4 linked regions of the Drosophila melanogaster genome follow. The protein of the gene in region 3 interacts with the protein of the main gene of each other region in a pairwise test. Each region holds a gene or a part of one and is shown on either strand. Other genes may lie near its edges. The genes, in order: bip1, CG14302, CG15710 and CG9967.

What was found.
Region 1: the proteins of CG15710 (region 3) and bip1 interact in a two-hybrid assay, tested with the Drosophila melanogaster proteins (one large-scale study listed by BioGRID).
Region 2: the proteins of CG15710 (region 3) and CG14302 interact in a two-hybrid assay, tested with the Drosophila melanogaster proteins (one large-scale study listed by BioGRID).
Region 4: the proteins of CG15710 (region 3) and CG9967 interact in a two-hybrid assay, tested with the Drosophila melanogaster proteins (one large-scale study listed by BioGRID).

What each region holds. Positions count from the first base shown.
Region 1 is NT_037436.4:8,053,306-8,061,137, reverse strand, and holds bip1 (bip1), read left to right. Parts: upstream 1-2,424; 5' UTR 2,425-2,677; intron 2,678-3,044; exon of another isoform or gene 3,045-3,091; coding exon 3,092-3,258; exon of another isoform or gene 3,259-3,637; intron 3,638-4,762; exon of another isoform or gene 4,763-4,829; intron 4,830-4,929; exon of another isoform or gene 4,930-4,964; coding exon 4,965-5,262; exon of another isoform or gene 5,263-5,337; intron 5,338-5,698; coding exon 5,699-6,493; 3' UTR 6,494-6,805; downstream 6,806-7,832.
Region 2 is NT_033777.3:18,730,556-18,734,313, forward strand, and holds CG14302 (uncharacterized protein), read left to right. Parts: upstream 1-2,125; 5' UTR 2,126-2,150; coding exon 2,151-2,157; intron 2,158-2,230; coding exon 2,231-2,439; 3' UTR 2,440-2,479; downstream 2,480-3,758. Other genes in the region: Mekk1, read right to left, coding at 2,723-2,809, 2,874-3,053, 3,199-3,758.
Region 3 is NT_033778.4:16,346,818-16,351,308, reverse strand, and holds CG15710 (uncharacterized protein), read left to right. Parts: upstream 1-2,781; 5' UTR 2,782-2,842; coding exon 2,843-3,640; 3' UTR 3,641-3,695; downstream 3,696-4,491. Other genes in the region: wcd (wicked), read left to right, coding at 3,914-4,491.
Region 4 is NT_033779.5:2,353,487-2,359,434, reverse strand, and holds the start of CG9967 (uncharacterized protein), read left to right. Parts: upstream 1-2,078; 5' UTR 2,079-2,357; intron 2,358-2,503; coding exon of another isoform or gene 2,504-3,004; intron 3,005-4,612; coding exon of another isoform or gene 4,613-4,855; intron 4,856-4,934; coding exon of another isoform or gene 4,935-5,666; intron 5,667-5,733; coding exon of another isoform or gene 5,734-5,897; intron 5,898-5,948. Other genes in the region: eys (eyes shut), read right to left, coding at 1,558-1,745, 2,504-3,004, 4,613-4,855, 4,935-5,666, 5,734-5,897.

The sequences.
Region 1 (7,832 bases), on a different chromosome or scaffold from region 3:
AATATCGCCATTTTGTTGCCTGTCATTTGTTGGGCAACAAATCGAAATATATAAAAAAAGTGACACTTGCCAATCTGCACAGTGTGATGTATGACGTTGACCCGATTTCGCCTGCTTTTTATTATCATTTCCATCGCCTGCATGTTGATTTCGTGTCTTGTCTGTCCGTACACACCTTTCCATGCCGCGACGAACGGCAATTTGTCTTTGCCTCAGGGGTGCCGATTATAATAATTCATCGGGAGTGCATTCGAGTGTGGGCAGCAAGTTCAAAGTGTTAAGTGTGATTTTCAAACATTCGTAATACACGGCGTATACTTAATGTTGCCGCAGTACAATGCCAGCGAATCGGATTGGCCTTCTGACACCCGAACAACAAATGTCAGGATGGCCGAGTGGTCTAAGGCGCTGCGTTCAGGTCGCAGTCTACTCTGTAGGCGTGGGTTCGAATCCCACTTCTGACAAGAACTTTTTGCCATTTTTTCGTTTTATTTTTTGAGCTACAAAAATAAAAATTTCTAAAATCCAAAGTATTTTACAATTATTAAATCAAGAATATACTCTCTCTTGACCAAACTGGAAATTGGCACTCGTTAGTTTAACAGTCAGGATGGCCGAGTGGTCTAAGGCGCTGCGTTCAGGTCGCAGTCTACTCTGTAGGCGTGGGTTCGAATCCCACTTCTGACAATACTCTTTTATTCTATTTTCCACAATTTTTTTCTAATACCAATTAAACTATTTTTACTTGTGCTAAACACACACTTCTTTTCAGTTTTGAGAATGAACCGTTTCAGTATGTGGTCCCCAACCAAAAGAAAATTTGATCTTACGGCTCTTGAGAGTCAGGATGGCCGAGTGGTCTAAGGCGCTGCGTTCAGGTCGCAGTCTACTCTGTAGGCGTGGGTTCGAATCCCACTTCTGACAAAGATTTTTTGTCCAATTTCATTCAGCAAAACGATTAATTTTTCCAACTAAAACTTTTTTTGCCCCTCACAATGATCACCATTTGTTTGGAGCATACATTAGATTGCTTTAACGAGCCAGCTTCCCTCTCAGGGGCGCCAGAAAAATTACAAGTAAATCAATTTGTAACCGCCTAATTGTCAATATTCCAATCACATAATCGGCTGCCAGTTAACGATTGCCCCCGGCTGTCGGGCAGACCGACAGATACAGCGAGACCACACAGGCGATGATCAAGCCTGGCCCCCTTGGGAATTATCGCCGTCTGGCATCGCCTGCAAACACTTCTACTTCTACATTCATCGCCAGCTCGAGTCATTCGGCTCAATCAGACAGAAATTAAAATGCTGACTGAGCGCGTTTTCGAATGCGGCCCACTCAGTAGTTTGTGTTTTCACAATTGTTCTTGGGAAAAAACAGTGCAGGTCCATCCGTAATTATGCTGCTGTTTGTCGGTCGTAAAACGCAATCAACTGGCCACGACAATTGACAATTTGGCTAGTGTAAAACTAGCCATTAAAGTTTTATTTGCTTTAGCACTTGAGAAATTGAGGCTGGCCTGGCCATAACAGGCGAATGGGTCAATTGGCATGTGACAGCAAGAAGCTGCAAGCTGCAGGCTGCAATTTCCACAGACAATGCAAATTGACGTCTTGGAAATATGAGTGATGTGACAAGTGGATGCTTATCTGCGGCTCGACGCCCCTGTTTTTTTTCGAGGGGCTTGCCTCCTTCGTCTGATGAGCGCCCATTGAAATTTATGACTTCGTCGAACCGCCAATTGATTGGCTTTTAAATATCCAAATGAAGGCTGCCAATCGCGAATTGTGCGGCCGTAATTAATGTACAAAAATCATTTGAACGCACGCCCCAAAGCAACACCTGCAGCTGTTGGTATCTTTATTTATGGAAAGCTTTTAACACTTTTAATTAATTATGGGATGGAAAAGTTGGCGGCTTAGCTATGTTGCAAATTTATGACACTACAAATTGATAATTGATAAGCAAAAATGCTATCTAAATGCTAATTTCTCGAAAAGCATATAAAACTAGAGTTAAGTGGTATTTAAGTATTGCAATGTACAATTAATATATTATATACAATCAACTACAAGGTGCGTAATTGAAAGGTGCGCAGACATCATATTATTAAGTAGTAGTTGAAGTATTATTTTCTTCGATTTGATACATATTCATTGCGCAGTACTTTATTCTTTAAAACACTATTATTTTAAATATGACTCATTAAAATAATAAATCATAAAAGAAATACCTATTTTTTAATGTCCTTCAATGGTAGTTTTTACTGTGCGCGATTGAAATCTCAGCCTGATTCCGAATTTGTCAGAGCTTTCCGGCGAAGATCTCGCACGCATGGGCACAAAGCTCGACAAAGCTGGAGAGACGCTCTCCAAACCGAGCTTCGCGCGGTGCCTTCGCGTGACGCAGGCGGAGCTTTCGACAGTCTGCTCCCACGAGTGACGTAGCGCAGTATAGAATGCAGAACGTAACAGAATCGTAATCGGAGCCGCATAGCATACCGCTAATTAGAAGATAGATGCCCTTTTCATTTAATCGTATCTAGCTGCGATCGCTTAAACCGGCGCCAATTGTATTCAAAGTTCCGTAACCGAAAGCTTTCACCTAGAGTTCTTGCCGTGGGGTTATTAAACTCAGAACTGCCGGTCAGAGAAAAGGAGACTTTGTGTGACAGGTGAGTTCATTATGTACATATGTATCTGTTTTCCTAAGATAAGCATAGGTAAATAATGGCGATGTGGGGTACATATGTTTATATTTAATTTCAAAGTATTTTGTAAAAGGTAAGACCACGCGGCTTTGAAAGGCAAGCACAAGTTATCCAAAAAAGCTTTTCCGTGGATGTGCATCTTATTGGTGCTTTTCTACGTGCAGCAAAGCAAGCTTTTATTCGCCAGAGCGAAAGTTCTTGGGGTCACTCTAGGTTTTCTTTTATTCCAAGAAAGAAAATAAGAAAATAAATAAGATATATGTATGTACTTATTTTAATGGTTTTCTAAACTAGAGCTTATTAATAAAATGATAAAAGAAGCAATAACCTTAAATTAAAATGAGTGATTTTATCCAATTTTAAAATAATATTTGATAGATGACGAATACGATAACCACTCTTCGGATTTGCCAGGCTGTGTCGCTAAATCCTAGCGCGAATGGGCCGGAACCAGTATTGCCACCTTCCTCCAGGATTTGTCTGATGGGTTGCCAGGATGTAAAGCCCAATGATCTGCGTCGTTTTCCAGTCCACGATACCGATCGGTGAGTATTATACACATACATACATACATATGTAGGTTCCTCCTGCCAAGAACCACATTAAACCTGTTTTTAGAGCCTACGGAGAGCTTTCCGATCGATTCGATCACCGAAGCTTGTTTTTGTTGCGAATCACAAGTGCTCATTCTATATTTTAAACACCATACCATTAAAGCCATAACAATCCAAAGCTTTGGACCCCGCTCGGTGCTCCTCTTCTTCGTCTGATACCGATACCGATACTCGCAGTCAAAGGTCATTGAACTTTCGCCCTCCCTCTCTTTCTCTGTCTCTGTCTCTCTGTTTTTTTCTCGGTTCGCATAAAAGTGCATCATTTTCATAGGAATATTTCAATGCCATGGCGGCTAAGAACTTGTGCAGTGCAGCAATCAGAAATGCAATAATGCCGATGTGGGCGGGGCAGTGGGTGGGCGGGGGATAGGTCCCAGATTCCGACTCCCATTTATTTATAGCTCTCACGCTCTCCTGTAAATGCAACAAATGCGCGTGGGGCTCTGCTCTGCTGGCCGTGAAGTGAAGTTATTTTGTGTTTCTTTGCTGCTTCTTCATCTCCAGTTTCTGCAGTTGGTGCGCAAAAAAAAAAAATAGAGTTCCGTCTGCCAAAGTTACTTGGCATTGGCCATGGAGTTTAGAGTGGACCACTGTTAAGCGAATTCTTCCTCTTTCCGAGGAAACCCCAGAATGTTAAGCTTTATTTATTATCAAGGAAAGCTCATATTTTACCTTTCGTCGGTATTATCACTAAATGTACTTTGAGACCAAAAAAGTGAAAGTCACTTTTATAAGCAAAATCGAAATAAGAATGACGTTTGCTAAGTTTAATTATAATAGTTGGTTATCTAACTGTAGTCATTGAGTTCCGTTTAAAAATTTTCAAGATATAGTATGAAATTTTAAAGTGAATTATGACAATAATTTTAATTTCACACAGTTGTACGTTGGTTTTGTAAGTTAAGCATAAACCATTCTTATGAAAATGGTTTCAAGCGATTAAAATTTATTTAAAACTTGGCTAGTAAGTCAGATTAAATATGGTATGAGTAGGCAAATGATTTTGCTGTCCCTGACCTGCACAATAATTTCGCATTCGGTCCACCCTAAAGGCCTTAATTGTTGTTGTTGTTTCGCCTAGCCATAAGCATAAGGCAAAAAGAAAATAAGCCTCATTCCCCCATCTTCCACAAATCGGCAGAAACAACAAAAATAGGGGGAAGTTGAGCAGAAGCTGCAGCAAAAGCAACAGCAACAACAAACAATAACAATTCCCCGCGAAACTTCCGCTGAGCGAGAAGGAGCGTACGAAAGCGTTGCTTCTCGTTCGCACTCGCAAAAGAAGCATAAAAAGAGCTTAATTGCAGCGAAAACTTTTTCAAGAACTTTTCCAAGAGAGAGCGATAAAGAGAGCGGAGAGCGAAAGTCGGATCTAATTTGAAAGCGTCGCAAGAACCAGAACGAAACTCCAATGCAGTTTCATTTTGTCAGTTTAATCATTAAACAAAGAACTGCGCAACCGATCGCAACTAGCTCGTGGACTCTTGTTCTCCCAATAATTGGTATGTTTTCCATTTTGCGTTAACATGGAAAATGTGTGAAAAGCTTTTTCCCCCTCCAAAAGAAGCGTACTGAACTAAGCTTTCGGTGGTTAGTAATAGTAGTCGTTATATCTTATTTTTCTTATTTACGTGCAGCTGCAATCATTGGCTGCGTCACTTTGGCGTCAGCTATAAACTGGTGGATCAACTCGGCGGCCTCCAAAAGCTGCGCATCTGCTCCAGACACTTTAGCCAACGCCAGGAGATGGCCAAAACCCGCATCAAGATGACGCCGCTGCGCAAGTCCTCGTCCTCCAAGGGCATTGTGCTACCCATTAATGCCGCTGGAGGGTCGGTCATTGCAGGCGCCTTAGCAGGAGGAGGAGGTGCAGGAACTGGGAGCGGTGCTGTCAAGTCGGCGGTGGCCAGCAGCACCACCATTGAACTTGTTGAGGTGAGTGGCAGCACAAAAGAAAACAAAAGTTCAGCTTTCATAGGGGTTGGTAATTGACCCAAGCTAAATTTCAGTTCAGACAGAAATTATGTTTTAGACTCCGTAACGCAATTTTCGTTGTTTATTAACCAATTGAAATAAATCGTATAGGTATTTGAGCATTAAATGGTATTCCAAAAACGGGCATGCTATTAGAGTTAGTTTAACAACAATACAAGCATGTCTTAAAAAAATACGTACAAAGCTATTTATTCCGTAAAAGTTTAATTTTTTATAACGAATAGCGACAGATCCTGAACTTTTAAAATTTCAGAGAACCCTTCAACGTTCTTTCTCTTTAAATTTCATATTTTAAAGATATGGTTAAAACTGCTTGTATGCATATATAAATATATACCACTATAAATGTATTTTAATGAACCGCATTTTTTTGCAGAGCCCCAATAGACATCAGGCCAAGAAGCCCAACACCGGCATTATGCCCATGCCACAGCGTTCCCACTCCATTAGCTCCTCGGCCTCCAGCGATGTGCTGTCCATAAACTCCGACTACGAAGCCTCGTTACCACTATCAGCCTTAGAGGATTCCCAGAATGGACTGAACCGCTTGGAGAACGGTCAAGCCAAGAAGAGGAAACTGTACGTGATCACCGAAAAATCGGATGAGACGAAAGGTCAGACTCTGGAGACAAATGGACAGCCCAAGAAGCGTAAGATGTTCGTGGTTGTGGAGCAGGATAAAGATGTGGCGGGCAAGAAACTAATGATTATGGCCGACAAGCCGCAGACCAATCTTACCCAGCATTTGGAGAAACTACTGCCCGAGCTATTGAATCGCATACAGGACAAAGAACAGAAGCAGATCAAACCAGCTCCAGTGGTGACTAAAGCCAAGCCGGTGGTTAACAATCCCAGACCACATATAACATTGCCGCCCAAAAAGAATCCAACTAATTTTGCAAAGATCACGTCCACACCAAGCTCAGTGCCTTCATCCATTCAGATGCCACTGCCAATTCAGAATACCAAGATCCTAAAGTCCGAGAATTCGGAACTGACAATGAATTCGGATGAGATCGAGACGAACATAAATCTATCGCCCGACTTCCGCTTCCTAATGAAAATCCTACCCAAATTGGAACAGCTGCCCGAGCCCCACAAGCAGAACGTGAAGCGTTCCATCCAGATCTTCGTGGAGAAGAGCTACAGTATTTACGGCAACAAGGATTAGTTATCAGTATTTTCGGGCACAGCGTTTATTTTCCATTTCATGTGAAGCAGTTCCCTTTATTTTCGTACATACACATACATACATCAAAGGCATTTCATAACTTTGTGTAAGACTGAAGCAGAACCAATTTAATTTCTAAGCCAATTGTAAGAGCTGAAGCAGCTCCCCATTTAGACATGTAAGCTTATCAGAAATTTGATATTACCCACCTGGAGATGGGTAGATTTTGTAAAAGTTGAGCCATAAAAACGAATTAAGATTGAATTTCTTTCTATATTGAATATATGAAAGCTTGATTTAAGCCAGAAAGATAAACCGTCTAAGAGTCTTATTTTTGGGATAAGAAGGTATATAACGAGGGGATATTACCACGACCCACAATTAATAACACTAGTGTTTTTTTCTTATCTTTTTGGTTTTTTTTTTTTGCATTGTAATTCCAAAGAACTTTATTTAGTTTGAAAGCATTTGTTTACGGTTTCTCTTCTTCCATATTTCTTTCTTTTTTTTTTTTAGTTACGTTATAATAATATTTAGTAAGTCTAATGCGGTTTTATTTAGTGTGGTTTAGTTTAGTTAATACAATGGTTAGTGTGTCTTTACGATTTCCATGTAAATTATGCAGCTTCACTTCGTCCTGGAGAAAGGATTGCATTTGGTAATTTACAATTCTTGCCGGCCCATTTACCACTACACGTGTATGTTTTGGGTCTCAGTTTCGTTTTAAGTTAGTATATCCGATTAATGTGGTTAATACATTACATATATACAGTTAAACACTTCATGTTTAATTTAGCTTGCGGGTCAAGGAAACCAAATTATGTGTAAAGTATTAGGGAACTTTGTTGCGTGCCTTTACTGGATGAGGATTTCTACATGATTGGAGTGACTCCATTTCGAGTGCTACATTATAATCGAGTAATATATACTTTTTACAACATTTAGCAAATTTTCCCGTACACATACAATAACTCGTATATCATATTTTTGCGTTAAGCATTTGCCATCGATTTTTTTTTAGAGGGTATAGGGTGTGTTTTATATGGTTTTAAATCGTGTTTGTTAACTACGTTTTGGAGTGTCCTACATTATAGCGTTTGCCTTTTTGTCGGTTAGCGTATCGAGTGTTTTTACATGCTACTTATAAGAAAAAATATTTGCCTTAATGTTGTCCTACGAAACAGTTATGTCATCATCATCATCAATGAGAAGCAATCACAAAGTTTTCTCTAAATTTATATACGACGATTATTACTATTATTTATCATTTTCTTTAGTATTTACATAATTTTTTGGAGTGCACAAAGCAGCCAGCTTCTGTCTGGTTAGTGTAAGCAAC
Region 2 (3,758 bases), on a different chromosome or scaffold from region 3:
GCACCACTCTGCACTCTATCACCTCTGCACCACCTAATCAATTCTTGCACCACAGCACCACTGAGCACAAATCAGCTGCACAAAAGTAGGTATCGGCTAGAATGAAGATATCTTCAGGACTTGGCATACATGTTATTGGAATCGTCATAATGATCTTATTGATATACCATTCAGGTGGCCTGCTCTACGGACAGCTTCATGGGATACGGACCGGTAACGCCACGTGGTTATGGCTGCTCCTACAATCCGCATCCGGAACAGATCGTCTTCTGCGTCTCGGCCTTCTACTCCTGTGAGGATACGAGTGCCTCGCGCTACGCCAAATCGCTGCAGGACTCGCTGGACATAATGCGTGATCTACTGCAAAACTAGACGAACTAGACTAGAATGTCGCTAGGATTGGGGTCCACCAGAAAAAAAAAAAACATATCAGTTAATGTACCTAAGCAGGTTAGCGAACGAAAGTAAGTAAGTGTAACTAGCGACCACACACGGGCGTTTCATTTGTGACCAAGCACCACCAAGCGAGCCACCCAACGAGGGGTGGGCATCTGAGGAATAAGATGGATAACGATAACGAAATCGGAATCGAAAACTGATGTCAATCACTATCAAGTTGAGACAAAAAAAAAAACACAAAAAAAAAGAAATAAGAAAACTATACGCAACCCATTCGCTTTACATATCCGTTACCAAAGTATCCTCGTAGTTTGAATTAGAGCAACTCTAGTCAATTAAATGTTTTAGAGCCGTTTTATGCGCAAATTGTTAGTGCTGTTATCTAAGTGTGTTAATTGTGCTATATTAAATATGAGTGTTATACCAATCACTAACTAACTTAGCAGAGCTTACGAACTTGTTTATACCCCTACTGTCAGCGAATTATGGCAAGCAAGCCCACAAGTATGCAATACTTTTCGTTACGAAAGTTGTGTTTCAAATACAATACGTTCTATAGTTGTTACAAAAGATACTAGCTAAAGCATATACTAAAAGTACTATCTGCGCTTGTTACTGCAATTTCGTTGTTTGTTTGAGGACTTATTACAAAAAAAGAATTATATAATGTCTGTTAATATATTTCCATATATATTCGTGTTTTAGAGAGCAAATGGTATACCGTAACTAAAGGCTTTTTGGATGAATATATATATATATATATATATATAATAATATATGTATGTACAACCCGTAAATGAATAATGAAATGAATGTAGAGGAATATATAGAATACGCGTATAGACTTGAGACGTAACAATACATATCAATAAATTTATATACATCCCAGGAAGGCAAATGATGCCCCACGGCGCAGGACGATTTAGAATGATATAGATACATATATAACCTATGTGTGTTTGTTTGTCTGTTCGAGCCGTTAGCAAAAAAAAAAGATGTTTCGATGGCGATCCACCAAAGCTGTCAATAATCTGCAAAGAATATATTATATACATAAATACTATACGTATGTTATTTACAATGGAAAATATATGAGAAACGTTAAAGGACAACCAGATACTTATATCAAACTAGTTGCTGTGTTCATTGTTGCTATATATGTACTATATGTATGATTATCTTCTAAACTGTTAACCGAACTATCACTACGTACTATCCAACTAACTATCTATCTTACCTGTATTATTCGATCTGTGTATCAATCATTACGTTACCATACTGTTCTGTACTGTCGTTAAGTTTGACTCGTTTCCATATGGCCAAGAGCCGCAATTAATGTATGCATAAATAATCACGAACCGAATAAATTGAAATAAATGCATTACAAACCAAGACCACCATCATTCCTGACCTACAATTGATCTGCTGGTGAATGAAAATACTCCATACGTATATGGATTTGGATAAGGCGCACGGTCAAATTGGCCACGTATTTTTCAGTGACTTCTAAGAATAGATAAGTCGTCTTCCGCTTGAAACAGTCATGAAAATCCGAGCTGCGCACTTCTTAATATCCAAGTGGTAAATACGATAACAAATAAATAAATAAATAATGATAAGCCAATGCCAGATAAATAGTGTTTTAATAAATTAATTAAATAAAATACCAATGGATACCCATGGCCAAGTGGTTCTCCATAAAAGGCCCTGGCCGTTCTGGGCACTTCAACAGTCTCTAAAACGCCGTCAACATGAAATGTAAGTACCGTACAAGGAGTAACCGCCAACGCAATCCGTGGACCATTCGAGTAACCGGCTCAATTCGTTGCAGTCTTCAACCTGCTGTTTAGCCTCTGTCTGGCCTTCATGCTGTGCACCTCGTGGGTGTCGGCTTTCTCCAGTCTTGCCACCCCGGAGCCAACTCCGCCAACTGGTGCTCCCGTCGATGGTACGACTAGCACGGGATTCTCTGGTCCGCCGCAGGCTGAGACCACAAATGCCACGCCAGAAACGTCGACCATCTATCCCATTTACGGATAGTCATCATCGATTGATGAATTAAAAACTGAATCGCAAATATATTAAAATACGTGTAATTTTCACTTGCATCGAATGAATTGTGGGGGTTACGGTACGGAAAGGCATTTGATTATTTTATACGGGTTATATATTGTCCAACATAAAACCAGACGAGGGCATTCAAATAATCGACATTCACATAAATTAGACACTAAACAAAATCCACACCGATGTACATATGCATCATATGTAGGGGTGCGCCTAAAAAAAACCGCAAGCTAGTTAAGTAGACACCACGTTGCACCTAGCTGCTGCTGGTCGCCACATTTCGCCGGAAAGAGCCTCGCACCTGCATCTGCAACTGCTCACTGCTGCACTCGTCTCGACCGTACTGCACATGGAAACGAAAATCAATTAGCAACATTTGGCAGCGAGCTAACCACAGGCATACGCACCTTGCAGAAATTGTGCTCCAACAGTTCCACTGCCGTTAAACGCCTCTTGGGATCGTGCTGCAGACAATGATCGATGAAGTCGTGACCCTCCTGGGATAGGCTCTCCGGTGCCTGCGGCTTCTCGCCCATGCCCACTTTGAACATGATCTGGAAGTTGGAATCAAACTGGGCCCAAGGACGCTGTAAAGAAACCATAAATATATATTAAATGTTAAACATTTCAAAATTTCACCCAAAGAAAAGCACTAATAATCCAACATTGTGAAATGGACTGTATACCCCGCCCCATACATCGAATTGCTTATCTACAATGCGAAGCACTCACCTTGCCCGAGGCCATCTCGACAACCACACAGCCCACCGACCAGATATCGGCCGCCCTGCCATGGCCATCGCTGTTGGTCTTTGTGAAAACCTCCGGCGCCATATAGGCCTGCGTGCCTACATAGCCCTGCAGCTCACCGGGCACAGTGGTGTGCGCTTGGATCTTCACTGCTGATCCGAAATCGCCCAGTTTTAGGCTGTTGCTGCCGTCCACGAGGAATATGTTAGCAGTCTTGATGTCGCGATGCACAATGCCATGCTTGTGCAGCTCAGACACGCCCGACAACAGCTGGGCGGTGAAACGTCGCGTAAGCGCCTCCGGCAGATTACCAGTCAGCTCCACCAGTGACTCGAGGGTGCCCTCAGAGCACAGCTCCATGAAAATAAGCAGCTCTTCGCGGTGCACCTCGATGCCATAGTAACGCACCAGGTTTTTGTGCTTTATTCCTTCCAAGATCTTTAGCTCTTCGGCCACATTCTTGAGTGCTCGCGTCTCTCCCGGCTGGATTGCGATCTCTTTCATGGCCATCAGCTCTCCCGTGTTATTGTTCACCGCCGTGT
Region 3 (4,491 bases):
GCTATTTTTATGGTCGACATGAAAGCGTTGGCCACAAGCCTTTTATTTTCCTGACCATTTTCGGCTAGCTTTCAATAGTTTTTCACCGAAATTTCCATTTCAACCAGACGCGAGTTTGCGTTGAAAAAGTTACTAAAACTTATCCTACATAGGAGATTTTATTAGAAGAGATACTACCTTTTAAAGTCAAACGCTTAGAATAATTTATAAGGCTGATTATTTATTCCTGGCTTTTTAAAATAATTTAAAGATAAAGATTTCCAGCTTCATTGATATAGAAATGTCAAAAAAGTTCTATAGCACACGACAGTCATACATTTATTTAACCAATTAAAGCGATTCGAAATGGCATGGTGTTTAAGTGCTATTGCCATGTCGCGCACTGTCAATACAATGTCAATATGCATTGTTCGCTAATGTATCGCCAACAAAGTTTTACGCTTTTTGTCGCCAGATTTTCCCTTTGGCTTAATTCCGTTTGAACGACGAACGTTGCGTTGGACAGGATTTTGTCCTGCAAATAAAACGCGCCCTTGACAATGGCCGTCAATATGCCGATATCGGTGGACAGAAAGACGTTAATTACCAACATTACCGCGCGCCCAATTATCAACCGCACAAATCAGCGGTGATGTAGGTACGGGTAACCTGATGCACCGTGTGCGGGGCAATGGAAAACTCATTACATGCCACAGGAGCCATCATCCGTGATTCGAAAGATAGCACATAGGTGGAGCGATGGAGCACAGGGGCAGGTGGCCAGGCGCCACGCCCACAAGGAGCGACCGCAACATGCTGTAATGCGTGGCTCTATCAGCATTTGCATGTGCAGCTGGAGCTGGAGCTAAATGCGCCCGATACTTAAAGCCAACTAAAGGCCATATGTTAGCCTACACTGCCAAAGGACAAACTTAATGTCAACACGCTAATCTGTCAGTCGGCAGGAGTTGCAGCGCAGGATGCGAGATGCAGGGCGCGGAATGGGGGATACTGGCATGGCGGGGAGTTGGGAGTGCGACTGCAAAGGATCTGCCACAATGTCAGGCCACTTAAGGAGCGCTGAATCGCAGCGCCTCGCTGCACAGGAACTCAAGGATATTGGAAGTGGGCGGAAAATGGGCGGGGAACACTCCCAGAAAATGCAGCGATTCTTAGACAAACTTCAATCCTTGGAACTTGATTAGCTATTATTACTTAAGGCAAACGATTAAAAAAGCTTCTGCGTAAAGGATTAGTAGAAAGATATAAAAGAATCCCATATTCTGTTAATCTGAAATCAACAGATTCTGAAATGAAAAATATTCATATTTCAGATAGCTTACTTCAAAATAACTAAAAAGAATAGCCTAAATGGTTTAAAAAGCATATAATACATTCAAGAATAGTGTATGCTTTTTAAATAATTCACAATCTTTTGAGGAAATACCAACAACCCAACTTCGCGCTGCTTAAAATTAATGATAAGTATGTTTAATATTTATAGAAAATTATTTGCTAGTGTATCGCCGCCTGGATGGCGCAACAATAATGCTGGACCCTTTGAAATGACAAAAATTGGTTGCTCTCCGTGCGGCTTGACGCCTGACTTGGCAGGAGACACTCGAGGGCACCACAAATGCCAAGCCGTCACCCACCCAGGCACCCAACTAAACACCCACTGCTCCTACAAGCAACGTCCTCCCCCCGCGAAGGACGCGTCTTATCAACTATGCAGGGCTTTGTCTCTAAGCGATTGCAGGCGCCACCCCCCCTTTCCCTTCCAACCTGCCCCTGCCCCCTTTTGCTCCACGCAGTCAGCGTCTTTTGTTGCGCTTAATGAATTTTACGTAAATTTTACGAGCGCTGATTTCTGGCAGCAGCAGCACCACCCCAGCTATTAATCCACACTTTGGCGAGAGCACCACCCCCAGTGGATGGGTAAATTAGTGGGTGGTTGGGTGGTTAGTGGGTGGATGAGACTGGTGCTCTCCTGGTTGTGCGTGTGTAATGACAAGTTCAACAACAACTCGACATTGTCGACTGGTGACGAGGACGACGTGCTCCGACATTTGTTTGCCCAAGTTATGCAAATATTTTTCCAGTCAAGAAGTTTTTGTTTAATTGCATATTTTGACTCGCATTACGCGTGTCATAAAGCAGGGATCCGGAGCTTACCACAATGCCAGAAGTTGGGCGGGGATTAGAGGCACTCGAAAGACATGTTCCTGCATTTTACAGTTCAAAGACCAAACTAAACAATCAGTTTTACGAGTATAGATCTTATTCTGCCCAGGCTTGCCATTGAACTATAGCTATCTTCCTTAGAAATTAATTTAAATTAAATTTATATTTAAGTCTCTAAGATGATATTTTAAAAATAATTCCTAACACAGACGAAATCATGGAGAAGCCTTTAATATGGTTCATAAAACATAATTTATTTGCTGCGTTCGAAACTGTGAAGCTGACCTACTTCATTTAAAAACGAAATTAAACCGAATATATATAGTATGTATACTTCTGCTTTAGACAGTAAAAATGCATGAAGATTGTTTGCTTAATTGGTTAAACTAAATGATGGCTAAATATATTACCACCTCATTTATGGTAATCCGAATAAAACGTTTAATTTTTTTTTGGAGGAAAGCGTTGGATTCGAATTTCATTGCCTGGACAAATTTAAAAAGTTTACATTTTTGAGGCATACCTATCGCGTATACGCTTTCTTTCTTTTCCAGCCCTGACAGTTTCCGAGTATCGAGTATCGAGTATTACTTTCTATCTTTCAATGACAATGACCGGCGACTTTCTCACTTTCTTCGTACGCTTCTTACTGGCGAAACACAAGAGCCCACAAAGGATTATGACAAGTGCTGGCAACTGGATTTCCGAGGAGCTGGAACCAGCTACTCTACTGTCGATTCAGGAGGATAATGGTATTGTTACCAAGGTGTACGTGGCGCCCTGTTTGCAGCCGATAAAAGAGGAGAAAGTTTTCCTGGAGGACAACACGCAACGCTTCCACTGTCCGCTTTGCTCTAATGTGATTCGCACGGCCGGTGCCTACAAGGTCCATCTGATGGCCTGCCAAAGACGCTTGGCACGCATGATGAAGGATGTGCCGGACGTGTCCCAGCATCAGTGCAACATTTGCAAGAAAATCTTCTCCTCGGTGGATGCCCTGATCGGCCACAGGCTCCTGCATGGAAGCCCATCAATGAATCGCACCTGTGCATCCTGCCATGTCAAGTTCGGGACGGATCTGGAGTATCGCACCCATTTGGAGAGCCATCTGATACCGTGCGAGTCCACGGATGAATCCTACGAAGGGGCGTACACCATCACCAAGACCTTCAATTGCGTCTTTTGTCGCACGGAGTTCAAGGCCTGCTTTAAGCCTGGCCAAGTGACCCGTCGATACGCGTGCGACGCATGTATCGTAAGGCTGAAGGCCCAGGAGGAGGAGAAAAAGATCTTAGGGAAGAGAAGGCCCGAATTAATCTGTGATCGTTGTGGGAAAAAGTACAAATATGAGGGTTTCCTTCACCGTCATCTGAAAACTTGCCAGATGCCGGATAAATGCAAAAGAAAGCGTGAGATTGAAATCACCGAGGTCAGCGAGGTAACATTTACAGAAGTTGTGCAAAGTTTTAATAATTGATTATACAAATTCGCACATTTTAATTTTAAATTAAATAAATATATTTTTTAATTGTAATATTTTTTATAATTTTCAAATTATGGCGCCCATCCCACCGATATCTATTTCGATCTGCTATCGATGTGGTCACACTTATCGATAAATCCACCGTGGCGTGGTATTTTTGATTTAAAGCGTTAGTCGATTTCCCGCCCAGCTGCACGTGTATATTTTTTTGCGGTCCAAAGAAAAGTTCGTAAATAAACGAATTTGCGTGCATTTCCAGCGAACACGATGAGTTCAGACGAGTCCAGCGACGGTTTGGAGGAGCTGCAGAGTCTGAAGGCCCTCTACGGCCAGCAGGAGCAAGAGAAACCGGCAAAGATCAAAAGGGAACGTTATATTCCAAAGGCCTCGCAGGCCAAGGAGCTCAACTATGTGGAGGTGCCCATGGAAAAGGTGCTCTTCGGCGACAGGCAGCGACTGCTCACCAATCTAGCCAAGTCCGTGGGACAAAAGTTGCCGAACGATGACGAAGACGAGCAGGAGGAAAATCCCGGCCAGGCAAAGCCAGGCGACAAGCGGAAAGCCGCCTGGTCGGATTCCGATGACGAGGACCTGCAGGTGGGCGATGTCAAGAAGGCCACAAAGCACACGGGTCCACTGAACCACCTGCGCAAGGATAAATCGTACAAGGAGTATCTTACGGCGCGATTCCAGCGCACGCTTAACCAACCCAAGTGGGCGGAAAAGAAGGTCAAAAATGAGGACGACGAGGACGTATCCTCCGACGAAGAACTGCTGCGGACGGTTGGCTTTATCGATCGTAAAGCCCGGAACAGTGATCTGCCCCAGAAGACTCTGAATTTTAA
Region 4 (5,948 bases), on a different chromosome or scaffold from region 3:
GAACGGAGATACTATCGTAATCCATAAAAATTAAACTTACATCTAGTATGCAATTAAGCGGAGAGGAAGTAAAGTGAATTAAAATAAATAAATAAAACAAATCGAACAACACAATACCGTAAACAACTTGTTTAAATCGTTCCACAAACATCAAAGATCCGATGCATATTTCTTTCCAATTCGTAATTTTTATGTTGTCTGTATGTATTTAAATTTAAAATTTATAAATTATAATAAATGAAAACATCGTATATACTTATATATATATATATATGACTGCGTATATACATATATGGTCATTCGATTTGAATCGACAATGAGCTCACAATCGCTTTTGTATTATGGGTTTTCAAAATATTAGCTCATGGCTTTATAAAAAAGGTAATTTAACTTTTTTTTAGCAGAGAAGTTCCTTTGCGGCGGAAAGACATTGGAAAATATGTTGCATCACCACTTCCCAAGACTCCCATGAAAACATAAGGCAGATTTTAGTTTATTAACTTTTCTAATTCCCATTTTTTTATTTGAAATTATAACTGATTAAGATGTCTCTCGAAATAAATACATACTTAACTTACAGTTTTGGTTACAATTTCCATTTGGTTTCGTATTGTATAATTGTTGTATATATATTTTTGTTTGTATCTTTCCGCTACTTGGTTTTCCATTTATAAGAATAATTATATTGTATGACCGCATGGATTTTCGCACGCGTCTTGATTTGTTGTTAGATTAGTCGACTTCGAATTGAGTTAGTTCAAGATAAATTATAGAGAGTATACGCTAACTTACTACAAGGCAACTAAATGGCTTCAATCAGGAGTGTTTATGCTATTTAACGTACAGGGATAACAAGGATTCGAATATCCAACTAGCTAAATTAGGTTTAATAATTTGAAAAACTTAGAATGACAGAAGCGAGGGCAGTTTTGTAGTCTTAGTTTAGAAAGTTGAAGATATAAGGAGAGATTTCGAGTTATAACACAAATGCTAACGATTGCATAACAAAAGGCTGGATCAACAAAAACAATATACATAGTGATAAGTTAAGTTGCTTTTTGGATCCTTCGTCCATAATCGTTATTCCACATGAAATATCACTTACGTAAGAGAAGTTAATATCTGTATCTGGTATCGGTATTTTCTAGATTTATCTCCTAATCTAAAATTTTGTCTTAGTTTTGCTCTTGGTATTGTTTTGATAAACCAGTTAATTTGTCATTTGTTTCCACGGTTTAAGTCTAAACATTGTCTTTTTTTCGTTTTTCATTTATTTCTATAAAATTTACAAAATTACGTTCATTTCTCGTCTTATTCGTCTGTCATCTTCTATCGATAGCTTTGCCCAAAAACTGTGTGTATATATTGATTCCGGCGAAGGAGGCTCCCCATTCGCCTGCTTTCCATATAAACTCGCTTATCACTTAGCTTACAAGTAGTGTTCTCTCTATCGTCAATTAGATTCCCAAGAAGTTTGCGAGTCCTGAAAGTCCAGATCGATCAAAGTGTTCCATAGACTTGTTACTCCGACTTTGTCCTTTCCTTTGATTTCGTTTCCTATACAGTAAGCGGCTCATCGCCGTGCAGATCACAGGATCCAATGTTCTCGCCCTGGTACGTCGAGAAGTCGCTGATAATCGCTGTGGGCTCGGCTCCGAACTGGATATCCTGCAGGCAGCCCTTGAAGGGATCGAAGAAGCGACCCTTTGTGCGCCTGCTCACCGAGTCCGAGTTGGGAAAGCCGCCTGTTTGGGATGCAAAGAATAGAGCATTTGTCAATTTGAACTTGAATTTGAATTTGTGCTAGTGCTGGACAAGGTGTAAAAGTGGCAGTTAACAGCAGTCTGTTAGCTGCCGCTTAACAGCATAGATTCATGTTTAATAAAAGATGAACAATTCGCTCAAGCTTTTAATGCTAAATTTCATTTTGAATTTAAATGAAAGGTAAGGAATTTATATATTAGGGTATTTAATTAAGTAATAATAGTCAGTGTATCTATTAATTTATGAACAGCTGATATGGCTTAAATACCTATCGAACCAACAGCCGCCCAAAGCAAACGAGTTGGCAGCCCAGTTAAAATCAGTGTTTATTCGGATCGCGAATCAAAAACAACTTGCGATTGAAATCGAAGTTCGAAAAGTTAGTTGTAGCTAACCAGCTTTGGCCAAATGGTATCAAAGAGACCTGGATCGTTGTGCTCCGGGTTTTCCCTTCTCAAGAACCGAATCAACCGAACCAGCTAAAGTGAACTGAATGTCTCTTAATTGTGCAATTGTTTGTTTAAAGTGCATGTGAACAAGATACGCTAATAAAAGTCTTCGGATCGGTGGTAAACTATAAAACTATAAAACCGGTAAGTCGATCATCATTATAAGTTTATGTCATAATTAATACAACGCTGTAATGGGCTTAGGATCACATAATATCACATAATGGGCAAGATTTTGCAAGCTACACCTGTTTGATAATATTATAAAGGTCATAAATAAATAGACTCACCCAAGTAGAAGACATCCTCGTAGCTAATTGTTGGCTCCTTGCTCGAATTCTTGCGCCTGCCCGCCAGAGTGCTTCTCGGCGTGGTCGAGCCCAGTGACCGTCCGCCCTCGGGCAATCGCTCCGTGAAGATCACCTCGCCGTCCAGCTGCAGCTCCAGCCTGGACCGGTCCAGCAGGACGCTGGTCCAGTGCCAGGCTCCGTCGGCTATGAATCCGCTGGCCGGAGCACGGACCGTGTCGTTGGTGCTGCCCAGGAGGTTGCTGGCCAGCTTGAGGTGGCCCGCCTCCAGGCCCAGGCCGAGGAACTTGCTCCTCTCGTGCTCGCTCCACAGGAGCAGTCCGTCCGGTTCGATGGTGGAGAAGTTCAGCGAGACTTGGATGGCTTCGCGGGGGCGGACGTACAGGGAGGGTCCCCGCCGCTTGTCTTTCATCGGAATTCGCGGCGGCGGCAAGATCAGGTAACTGTTGCCACGGAAGCTCGGCGTCGTCGGCTTGCTCATGGCTAGAAAAATCCGAAAGAGTCATAAGACATACATAATACTGCCGCGGGGAGGGAAATGGGGAAGTTGAAGTCGAATGGCGTTGCATTAAACATATTGCATGCGGCACATAATTAAATTACAGCATCAGCTTGCCGCTGCAGCTGCATTGTTCCTCTTCGTCGCCGTCTTTTGTTTCACTTTATGTATCTGAATCTTAATCTGAATCTTCATCTGCAGACCCTGATCTCGTTTATCAAACTCAAACCGTTTTCTAATGCACTACCAAGTACCTGTTCTTTGACAAGAAAAGCGCTTTTGGCCCAATCCAAAGAACTCACAACGAGTTGTATATTTAATTACTAAGAAAACAACAGAATGATATTTATCAAATGTTCAATTTGATCTTTTGTTGCCTTTTTCTAGTTGCACAGTGCTCACTTCTCCCATTTGTCAGCGTTTTCTTCAACTTCACTCACTTTCCAGTTTTTTCTGCCTATGAATCATCACGTTCTTCATCAGGTTCTAGAACTCGAAGCACACATTAATCTTTATTATCGCGCGGTTATTAATTTTCTATACACTTTTCCCTACAGTTTCTTCACCCCCTTTTATCATTTTGTCTATCACCTGTTCGCTTTCCCTGAGTTCTTGATTTTCATGGATATAGCTCAGGCTTTTCCTCGTATTCCTATTTTCTCTCCATTTTCCCTTCACCGACTTGCATTTCTTCAATTTCAACTTCAACTTGCTTGTGTGGCATGTTAATTCACAATTTGCTAATAAGTGAAAGGCAGACAGCTGGATGAATCTCCACATAAAACATTCGATGGATAAAGAAATAGCAAAAACGCATCTGCCGATTTCGTATAATCAAAAGCTTGTTTCGCAGATGGTTGATTAATGTTTCGCTTGGTGTCATTATAATTTTGAATAATGTTGCAGTGTGAGGGGATAATAAAAGTTTGAAATTACTGATTGGATAATTGAAATTGGCGCTGAAAGTTACAAGGAGTATTTTCTGTTTGAGCTAATAGGTTAGAACTTTGAACTTTATTTTTGCATATTATGCATATTAAATTGAAAAAAAACGAGAGCATTCAACTTTGAATCATGGCCAGTCTTAATTATGCCCCAACTCTATCCCCATTCTGATTATAGTGCTCTTTATTGCCATCGTTGTGAATCACAGAGCGCTAATTTTTGTGTTACTTTTTTTGGCCAACCAACTTCCTGACCCCGCTGTGCACTGAACCATCCAGAATCCAAATGCTGCTGTTAATGGTTATTTTCTGCTGCCGTCAATCTCTAATTATAATAATAATGTTGTTCTACTCGGCGGCTGCGAAACTTGTTTGGCCCAAAACTCCGCAGAACACCGCTCGCAAATTGAGATCAAAACGCAGAAAATAATAATACAATAAAAACATTTAAGCTTCTGTAGGAATTGCGAAAACCAACTTTTACTCGTGACACATTTTTTGCGAATTGAACTTGAAGCCGTGCGAAGATTTATATAACTTGTTTTTCTCCGCATTAACAAGATGTATTGCTATTATGTTTTTGGTTTTTTTCGAAAACCAACTGAATTATGAGCCGTGCTTGTGGTTATTGAACTTTTGGCCACTCACCAATCTCGCAGTAGAAGCCACCCCATCCATTTGGACACGAGCAGCGTCCACTTCTCAGGCATCTTCCATTGTTTTTGCACGGAATGAGCTTGCAGGTCTCCGAGTACTCGCATCGATCTCCTTTCGCGTACTCCGGACAGATGCAATGCGGCTGCAGCTTCTCGTCCAGCCAGCAATGTCCTCCGGACTCGCAGGAGTCTCCGCCACAAGCGGTGCCATCACAGTCTCGAATGTTGCGCGATTCTAATGGGGTTAGACGAATCATTTAGTTAATCAAGAATGGTGTCCTTAAAGGCTGTTGCTCATCATCAACAGTACGCACCCACAATGTTGGTTTCGTTGAGCACAATGCGAGTTCCACTGACCACCAGACCCCGGACACATCCCCTGAACGGAATCGGGAAACCGGAGATGGCGTTGTGCGGCAGCTTGGACACATCCTTCAGCCCGCCAATGTAGAGCAGTGAGTCGGGCTCGACGAGCACCTCAGCCGAAGGAGCCAAAGCCGACGAGGCGCTACCCTCCACCCACAGGGTCAGCCATCTTCCGCGCTGCGCCATCTTGATCTTGTGCCACTCGCCGATGGCCAACATGCGAACGCTCCGCACCACCGTGACATGATTGCTGGGCCCGGAAATCCGGAACTCCACCACTCCGCCCTGCAGCGATAGCGACACGAATCCTATCTTCTTGTCCTGATTGTTGTTCAGGGTACCGAAGTACAGAAGGAGGCCTCTTTCCGAGAGCGGGCGCAGTTGGAACTCGATGAAGAAGAACTGCACTCGATGGTGCTCCTCGAAGGACTTCGATCCCATCAGGGGAACTGGCGAGAAGCTGCGCTGCTTCTCCACCTCATTCAGCAGTTTCATCACAAAGTGGCTGCTGGGCGTGGTAATGGGCTTCGGGGGCATTAGTTTCTTGGTGAAGTTCCGGTAGCTGACCATTTGGGAGCGCTTAGCGCCCAGTTTATCCCCGCCATCGTATAGATATGGCCAGCGAACCGCCAGATAGGATCGTCTGCCAGTCAGGGATACGTCGCTCAGGGATCGAATTACTAAGGATTGAAGGGCAGTGAAGTTGTATAGCTATAGTAATGATTATAACTTTTTTGTGGAACCTACCCTCCTCGCAGTTTTTGCCTGTGCGTCCTACAGGACAATCGCATTCGTAGCCATTGACCAGCGGCACACAGGTGGCGTCCTCGTAGCATTTGTTGTTGAAGGAGTCACAGGGATTCGTGGGCTGGGCACACAGTGGCCCATACCAGCCCTCCTGGCAGATGCAACTAAGAAGTGGAGAAATAGCGAATTATGAACATATAATGAGGGTTAAAGGT